Linked DNA regions of Xenopus tropicalis. The protein of the gene in region 1 purifies or fractionates together with the protein of each later gene. This does not show direct contact. Links are inferred from orthologs where the notes say so. Each region holds a gene or a part of one and is shown on either strand. Other genes may lie near its edges.

Region 1 (4,565 bases):
TGCAGCTTCATCCACCCAATCCCACTGCAGATCTTGCCCTGGACTGATGCTCTGAAGCAGTTTGTCCCACAAACAGTAGCTGCATCTTATGGCAGCAGGCGTATACAATGCCTGTAATAAATCTCTAAGACTACAAGATGTGAGCAGAGTACATATATAGACCCAATACCCTATGATGCTTCCAGGCAATATATGTTTGGTAACTTAAAATCTTATGCTTACTTATCAGTGTTTGTTGCAACACTAATCTCTACACTAAACTCTATCTTTTCTGTATTACACTTTTTTGTTGCTATATTAAAGGAGACATATTGGATAAATGGGAAAACCCTAATTTTGTAGGCAATTATGAATAATATACGGTGCTGGTTTCCCTTTGGGCTAAACATTAACCCTATCTGTAACAATGGCCCCTTTACTGGAGCTCCCTATAGATCCTCTCACTTCTCTGTCCAGTGTGAAATGAAGAGTGGGCGTGTCCTAACGGTCCCTGCCAGAAGCACAGTAGGAGGGGGAGAGCCAATCACAGCCCTGCACTCCCACAAGCAAAGACAGGCTTCAGTTCCCTATCAGGTCAGCCTAGCTGCTGATTGGTTCCTATCTTATAGTGCAGGGTACGGAGGGCCATCGGCTCCCCAGCGCATCCAGAGAATTCAGCCAGCAGGAAGTGGAACAGATGGGCGGGGCTAGTGAGGTTTTGGGCGGATTTCTCAATAAATCAGCCAGAAACACAACTTTTTTAGCACAATCCTTCTATATCTAGAGGAGTATAATTCCCTGGCACATTGTAAATTTTTATAGGATATGTCTCCTTTAAAAAGTGCCTTACTAGCAAAGCCCAATATATTTTAAATGATCCTCTTGATATCCACCCACTACATGCTTGATAACCTCTTATTTGCCATTTCAAATGTACTTTCTCCCTTTTCTTTATTATGAAAGGTGGGGGCGACATTACAGCTCTCAAGAATTCCTCTCTAGACCAGAAACAAAATATAAATACATAAAAATTAGCACATGGCTTTCCAGTAAGGCAGTGAGGTGAACCCTTTGTCAGGACTTTGGTCTTCTAGCAACTAAGAGCATAGGAAATATTCAAATGGTGGAATTTCCCCATACAAAAAAGTACTTTGTGTACCCCAATTTTACTTTCTTTATATTAGGCAATCAAACGTTCTACCTGCAACACACTAATCAAAGCAAACTGATGAATGGTTGCTAAGGGTAACTAAACGTAGTAATTTTGCCCGATGTTAGGAAATCAGCCTAGAGACAGTCTAGTTATGAAGAGAGGGAAAATTTAATAATAAATGGAGGCGATACTGCCGCGGACACTCTGCTATAGCACTTACCTAGCCAGACCCAGTCATCAAAGCCTCGCAGAGTAACCAGCCTTGTACAGCTCCATTCTCTGACTGCCGTGAATAAAGGCTTCAGCAACACTGCCGCGGTGAGATCAGATAATCGCAATGTTTTTGGCAGTATGATTTGCTTTCGCTTTCGCTTTACTGGAAGCTGTGCGTTTCCAGGAATATACGGGGATTTTTAATTCTAATTCTAATAGAGTTGCGCACCCTGCAGCCAAGCCAGGCGGCACACACAGACAAGGCATACAAAGGAGCGAGCAGGTACACTGAGGGGACGCACAGCTTTTGAGAGGTAAGTGAGGGCTCCTTTGCATGCCCTGGCTTATGTACAAGGGCATTTTGTACAAACTGCAACTCTCACATGAACGGACTACGGACAGTAAATCTTAAGGGTTACACAGGGAGAAAACTGAGACTGCAGGTAGATCAGCAGTGTTACAGACACAGTCTTGTCTTACCAGGCACAGACTGACAATCTGTGAATTCTGGCAAATGCCAAGATGGCCCACTGATAGATGTCATATATAGTCACTATTTAGTGGGCTGGTGGGACTCTGCTCCTGCTTCAGTGCTAGGGACTGTTCTGAATCTTAGTCCAGGACTGAGCCTTGCTATGCACCATCCCACAGCTGCACCCTCCTCACTATAAAGGGGTTATTCATAGTTACATAGGGTTGAAAAAAGACCAGAGTCCATCAAATTCAAACCATCCGAGTAAACCCAGCACCCACAATCTATACTTACCAATCTATCCACTCACATACACAAACTATATATACAACCAGTAATACTAACTGTAGATATTAGTATCACAATAGCCTTGGATACTATGCTTGTTCAAGAACTCATCCAGGCCCCTCTTAAAGACATTAACAGAATCTGCCATTACCACATAACTAGGAAGGGCATTCCACAGCCTCACTGCCCTCACCGTGAAAAACCACCTACGCTGCTTCAAATGGAAGCTCCGTTCCTCTAATCTAAAGGGGTGACCTCTGGTGCGCTGATTGTTTTTATGGGAAAAAAGAACATCCCCCATCTGCCTATAATCCCCTCTAATGTACTTGTACAGAGTAATCATGTCCCCTCGCAAGCGCCTCTTTTCCAGAGAAAACACCCCCAACCTCGACAGTCTAACCTCATAGCTTAAATCTTCCATTCCCCCAGACATCACATATACAGGTATCGGACCCATTATCCAGAATGCTCGGGACCAAGAGTATTCCAGATAAGGGGTCTTTCCGTAATTTGGATCTCCATACCTTAAGTCTGCTAAAAAATCAATAAAATATTACATAAACCCAATAGGATTGTTTTGCATTCAATAAGGATTAATTATATCTTAGTTGGGATCAATTACAAGGTACTGTTTTATTATTACAGAGAAAAAGGAAATCAGTTTTAAAATTCTGAATTATTTGATTAAAATGGAGTCTATGGGAGATGGGCTTTCCGTAATTCGGAGCTTTCTGGATAACGGGTTTCCGGATAAGGGGTCCGATAGCTGTATTTTAATTAGGGATGCACCGAATCCAGGATTCAGTTCGGGGTTTTTCCGAAGGATTTGGATTTGGCCAGATCCATGCTCCTGGCTGAACTGAATTCAAATCCTTAAAATCAGTTTTTGTCATATAAACACAAAAGCAGAAAATATTTCGTCATGCACGCCTTTTAACCCTTCCGATCCTAATTTACATATACAAATTAGCAATTGGATACCGTTCTGTATTCAGCCAGATCTTTTACAAAGGATTCTGGGTTCAGCCGAATCTGAAAATAGTGGATTTGGTGCATCCCTAATTTTAATGTTACAGTTATAGTGTGGGTGCTGTGGTTTTTGACATATGATTTGGTGCCAGAGCAGAACTGGAACAGTGGAAAGTGAATTTCTGCCATTGTACCACGCATTAGCCAACATGTGTATCAGGGGTGTCTTTCACCTGCAGATAACTGTACGAAAATATTGGTACATGTATAAAGTCTAGGGCTCATTTATGAGGGTGTGCAAAATAACAAGTCACTGGGTCATACTCACCTGCATCTGAGGGGAGAGGGGGGCAGCCTCGGGGAGCCCGGAACACAAATCCGGCACTGTTTACACTATCAGATGCAGGCAAGTTATTGTTTAATGTTTCACCTGATTCTGGGAATCTGGTTTTGCTTACTCAAATGCATTAGATCTTTTCATGTGTCCGGACACATAAGTTGCGTGGAAGATTTTTTCTTTCAGGCTCCTTACTTTATCTATAAATAGAGAAGCGGCAGTGTAAGATTGCGGGCAGGGAGGGTGAGCGGAAGAGCTCAGCCCGAACCCGCCCGACCCGAGGGTTAACTTGTGGGTTCCGCGGGTATCAGGCCAACCCGCACATCACTACTGGTGATGCAGGCAGCTACTCTTAAGTAAGTTACTTTAGGCTAATGTTATTTAATACTACGTATTTGGAGCACTGTGGTAGTGGTAGACGCGATGGTGCTGGGTTCTAAATTTTTAAGTGGTTTTATGAAATTTCTTTCTGTTAAAAGGCTTTTTTTAACCAATAAAATTGTGCCTGATTATTATACCTAGGCATGGCTCTATATAAAAGAAGTATTTTACAGTTTTTATGTAGAGTTATATTTGTAAATGTAATCGCTATAATCAGTATTTGTTGTTTTTGTTCAAAGAGATGTATATTCAAATATGGGGGCATATCGGGGTAGCCTAATCCACTACATTTAATTCTCCATTGCACCTTGGCATAACTCAGTTGTTCTCTTTGCAGATTCAAGCTCACCATGAATCCCTTCTGGACTCTGAGTTGTCTTTTTGCAATTGATATTGCCACCTTGCCCTTAATAGGATCATTTCTCTCTCACATCTTACCTTCAGATCTCCCTCTAATATTACCTTGGCTGGTTGGCTTGTCACGGTTGCTGTTTTTGATCTTGAGTTTACGTGTACTCAGTAGAAGCTTCAGGCTCCCATTCCACAGAGATCATCTAAACCTGTACTGCACTGTACTAAGTCTGCTTGTTCCTATTTATATTAGTCTCACCTCTTTAGTGAACCCACATAGAAGTGCCAATCTGCTTTACAGCTGGACTCACTGGGTCATCTTGTTCTGGTGCTACCTGCTCACACTGATTTCAGCAGTTGTTGTGCACCAGCTGTTACCATACAGCACTGAGAAGAAAGATGCTGAAGTGACTGCTGCTTCT
Region 2 (4,414 bases), about 1.2 Mb from region 1:
ACCGAAATGATAGATCATATGGTGTTATTTTATTTTGGGGCCCCTAGATTCCACATACTTAGGTGAACCTATGCATATTGGTTATCAAACTGTTCCATAGACCCCTGGCATTAATATTTAGGATGTTTTATCTGGTTACATAATGACCTGTAGCAGATAAGATACTATAGACTGGAAGCTTTGAAGCAATTTTTCAAAAATTTCACAAAAAAATTATATAAAAAATTACAACTTTAGGAAAGCATTACAACTTGGTATATTGGAGTAAACAGACAGTTGTACCTATTCTGAATTTGCCAGAATCTGTTCTTTCTAAAAATGTATTATTTTCTGGGGTAAACCTACTATTGGTGGAACTTTTGGCCTTGAAATTTAAAGTATGCAGCTTTCTGGAGCAGTGCTTTGGAAATTTGGTAGTGTACTGCTGGGAGTTTTTGACCTATACAAGTGAGAAATCACCATATAACTATTGTAGGGACCCATGGGGTTAAGTTCCCTATGGCTTTACACCCTACCTCTTCACACCTTCACTGTTATTGGGCAAAGCTTTTATGCTCAGGTTTAGTTATGTAATTTGCTGCATGCTGTTTCCCAAGCAGAGCTCCATCTGAGCCTGGGAGCAGACTGTAGGCCCCAGAAGACATTGTACCCTAGAGGACATTATACCTCTAGTGAAAGTTGGGGACAGGGCCCCGTAAATGAGGATAAGCAAGCACAGCAGATTATTTAATAGCACTTTCTAGGAAAGTGTGCATAGTCAGCTCTAGCTAGAAAGGGCAGCCATTAGCCCCACCAAAGGAGTGATTAGATCCAGGAGTAGTCTCCTATCCGGCAATATTGCCTCAGTGCAGGGCCACAAAGTACCAAGGGGTACTGGTTGAAAGATGTGTATCCCGTCCCAGACTCTACCAAGAGGTGGGATAAAAAGGTGCATACCCTCTCTTCTGCATCAGAGCGTATATAACTTGTACCATCATACTGCTTGTGTCTTGTGAGTATATGATTACCCTGATTTCACCACTGCTTTGTCTGGGACAATAAATCTGTATCATAGTTTCACCATAAGAACCACTCTGGCGTCCATTTATACCATCTGCACTACACAGCCTCAGAAAGTTATAGTTCAGCTATACCCTCAGCTCCATATAGCGGAGGCCCCGCCTAAGAATTAAGGGTCGCATGTAACACATGCGCTACACTACGCTACTAGCCTGGGCTTGGCTAATCTAAGCCAAAATAGTGTTACACTATAAATCTTTGGTACTGGCACATTAAGAAGACACAGGACTTTCAAAATTGAAATTGAAAATTGTATTTTTGTGTTTATATTATGGAGATTTGTTTTCCCCATTTTCAGACATTTAAAAGCCTTTATCTTGTAAGAGAAGTGGAATTACACAAAAACTCTAGCTTAGGTTGACTAAATTGTCCAGCAATGAAAGGGTTAAGGTCTGGTTATGTTCCTATTAGTAAATTAATCCAAATAGGCCAAAGAAGAATACACTGCAGATTGAGTTACTCCATGCTTGTAGCACAGGGGCTGTGTAAGTGAGTGAAAATGAAAGTGAAAGAGACAGACAGGGAGGAGAGGAGGAGACTGTGGGATCAGTGAAGCTGCGGAATAGCAGAGGGGGGAGAAGCGCTGCACACACGGTAACGTTTGTTCTGTACAGCTGCCGGCCACAGGTCTAGGGAGTCTGTTTCTGTGCTGCACACATTTGCCAGGATGAATCCCACTTTCTTCTACTTCCTGCCGTCCCTTCTGCTGATTGGTAAGTGTCATAAAAGGTTTTTTGCGTACAGTTTTCCTACTTGCAGCGTGCCCCAACTCTCTTGCCTTATATTGTCCCCCCGAATCTTCTCCCCAAACTGTCCCTGCTTTCCTCTGCCTTCCTCCCCCCCCCCCCCCCCCTCACGGTCTGGCTGCTCTTATTGATTTCAGTCACCGATTAGGGCCTTTCCAAACATTTGCTTTCATTTTCTACTTAATATTGCTTAGTGTATACTTGAGCTGTGAATGTATTTGCACACTGAAGGCCTGTCTAACAATGCAATGACTAAATAGATAATATATTACATTAAATTCGATTCCACACAATAGACAATGACTTTTTGTTACAAAATGTATTTTACTATGTAAAAGTAAAACTTCAACTCCCAGATCTTCAGCCAAAGCATGCAGATTTGACCCAAAATACAGGTGTGCCATCATGTTGTTGTGCTACAACACATGTCAAACACAAGGCCGGGGGCCGAATCCGGCCAACCTAGCTGTTTTATATGGCCCATGGTGACTGTGCCTGACTGTGCTGTGACTTTGACGAATCTATCCTTCTACTACTAAGTAGAAAAAAAAATTTGGCCCGCGACTTAGCCTATATTTTCGATTTCGGCTCCCCTGTGCTACAATGTCACTCTTACAGGCAAAGGTTGTCTGGGGATCTAAAGGAAGGTACAAACACCAAAGTAGCTTTGTCTGGCAAGTACCATATATAGTGGGGGATGACATCTTGTAGTTCTCTCTGCCTAGATATTCCCCAGCAGGGCCGGAACTAGGGGTAGGCAGAAGAGGCAGCTGCCTATGGCGCAACGATTGAGGGGCGCCAGGAAGGAGCCTCTCCTGCCTACCCCTAGTGCTACTTTGTCATTGCCACCGCCGCTTGTCATTAGCGGCGGAGGCAATGACCGATCTAATTGCCCCGCCCCCCCTGCACCGCCTCCTGTGCTTTGGCGCGCATGCGCCGTTCGGGGGGCAGGGAGGTGGGCGGGGTTGCCTAGGGCGCCCGGTCGGCTTGGCCCGCCCCTGTTCTCCAGCCCCTCCTTTAGCTAGTGGTATTTCCTTTTAATGTTACAGTATTATAGGTAGTATTCTGTGCTTTTGGATCCAATAACCAAACTAGCTGTTAGAACCAGCATTTGATTTCCTTTCTTAAGTTTTAGAGTTGTGTGCAGCATATTTGTATGGAAACTAGGGATTCCAATACTGTTTTCAGCTTGGGATCCCACTGAATCCCAACACATTCTTCAGAATCTGGTTTTGGACAAACCCTTAAAACTGCCATAGACCTAAAGATCTGCTGATTTGGGGAGGTCACCCGATTGATATCTGGGCAATTTTTAGCCAGATATTGGTCAGACAGGCCTGTTGATGGGTATCCTACATGGGCCAACAAGCTGGCAACTCTGTTTGGAAGGACTGAGTTATGACTACCTTAACCAAAATGGGTACCCGTAAGGGCCCCGTAGACATAATTAGGGATGCACTGAATCCGCTATTTTCCGATTTAGCAGAACCCCAAATCCTTCGTAAAGGATTCGGTCAAATACCAAACTGAATCCTAATTTACAAATGTAAATTAGGATATTGAAGGGTTAAAGATGGGTTAAATTTTCAACATCCGTGTTTCTGTGACAAAGTCATCTGTTTTTAAGAATTCAGATTTGGTTCGGGCAGGAGCGTGGATTCAGCTGAATCTTGGACGAATCCCCAACCAAATCCTGGATTCAGTGGATCCCTAGAAATAATATTGTAAAAATGCAGCAATCAGGTGACAAAAAACTGTTTTCCAGCATAAATAAATGTTATAAAGGATGATAAATAGGCTCCCTAATGTGTAAGTGTAAAGCTCTGGAAAATTGTATCTGATGGTTATTTATTCACAGATGATGGAATGTTTTTAAAAAGTTCTTAAACTGAAATAAGCAGATTAGGGTTTAGTGTTATGGAGTATGTGGAGTATTCAGCAAATCCAAAAACTTTACACCCCTTACAGAAACAACTGGTGCACATTTTATCTCTTTGTTAATCTTATTTGTTGTGCTGAGGCACGGCACGTGATCCCACCCCACACCTGCACCCACTTGTTTGTAGAGCTCTGCATGTTGCACTGATGCCTGTAACGGCCATTTACCCTTCCCCCAGTCAGTGAGCAGCAATGTATAGTTTGATTTAGCTATATAGCTTTTACTCCAGTACTCTTGATGCAAATATCTGCTGATGCCTTATCCATGCTAAAGTTTGGGCCACTAGCAATGAAATTACTGGGTCCTACAGCAAAATCATTCCAAACATTGGAGCAATAATAATACATTTTTCATACACATACTGTATACTGAAACTGTTTATCAGTCAGTGCCATACTGTGTGTTCCTGTAGCTTCTGGGCCCCTCAGCAGTCGTGGGATCTGCATAATCTATGGTTTCACCAATACCTTGCTTAGAATGTATTTAGAATTAATTTTCCACACTTTTTTTCATTTTTATTATTATATAATAGTTCACCAGAATCACTGAATCTATAAACCATTCTATTTTTATACATTAGCAGATATTTCTTATCTTTGTCCCTGCTGAACAGATCCCTGGGTTTTATTTAGGGTGATGGGACACAGGGAGATTTGTTGCCTGCAGTTAC

The links.
Region 2: the proteins of tap1 (region 1) and tapbp purify together in Homo sapiens (co-immunoprecipitation; 6 studies listed by BioGRID and IntAct, with this or other methods). This does not show direct contact. The link is inferred for Xenopus tropicalis from reciprocal best matches to the Homo sapiens genes TAP1 and TAPBP.

The regions. Positions count from the first base shown.
Region 1 is NC_030684.2:73,373,845-73,378,409, reverse strand, and holds the start of tap1 (antigen peptide transporter 1), read left to right. Parts: upstream 1-1,566; 5' UTR 1,567-1,659; intron 1,660-4,129; 5' UTR 4,130-4,142; coding exon 4,143-4,565. UniProt on the Homo sapiens protein: ABC transporter associated with antigen processing. In complex with TAP2 mediates unidirectional translocation of peptide antigens from cytosol to endoplasmic reticulum (ER) for loading onto MHC class I (MHCI) molecules.
Region 2 is NC_030684.2:72,160,166-72,164,579, reverse strand, and holds the start of tapbp (tapasin), read left to right. Parts: upstream 1-1,574; 5' UTR 1,575-1,726; coding exon 1,727-1,772; intron 1,773-4,414. UniProt on the Homo sapiens protein: Involved in the association of MHC class I with transporter associated with antigen processing (TAP) and in the assembly of MHC class I with peptide (peptide loading).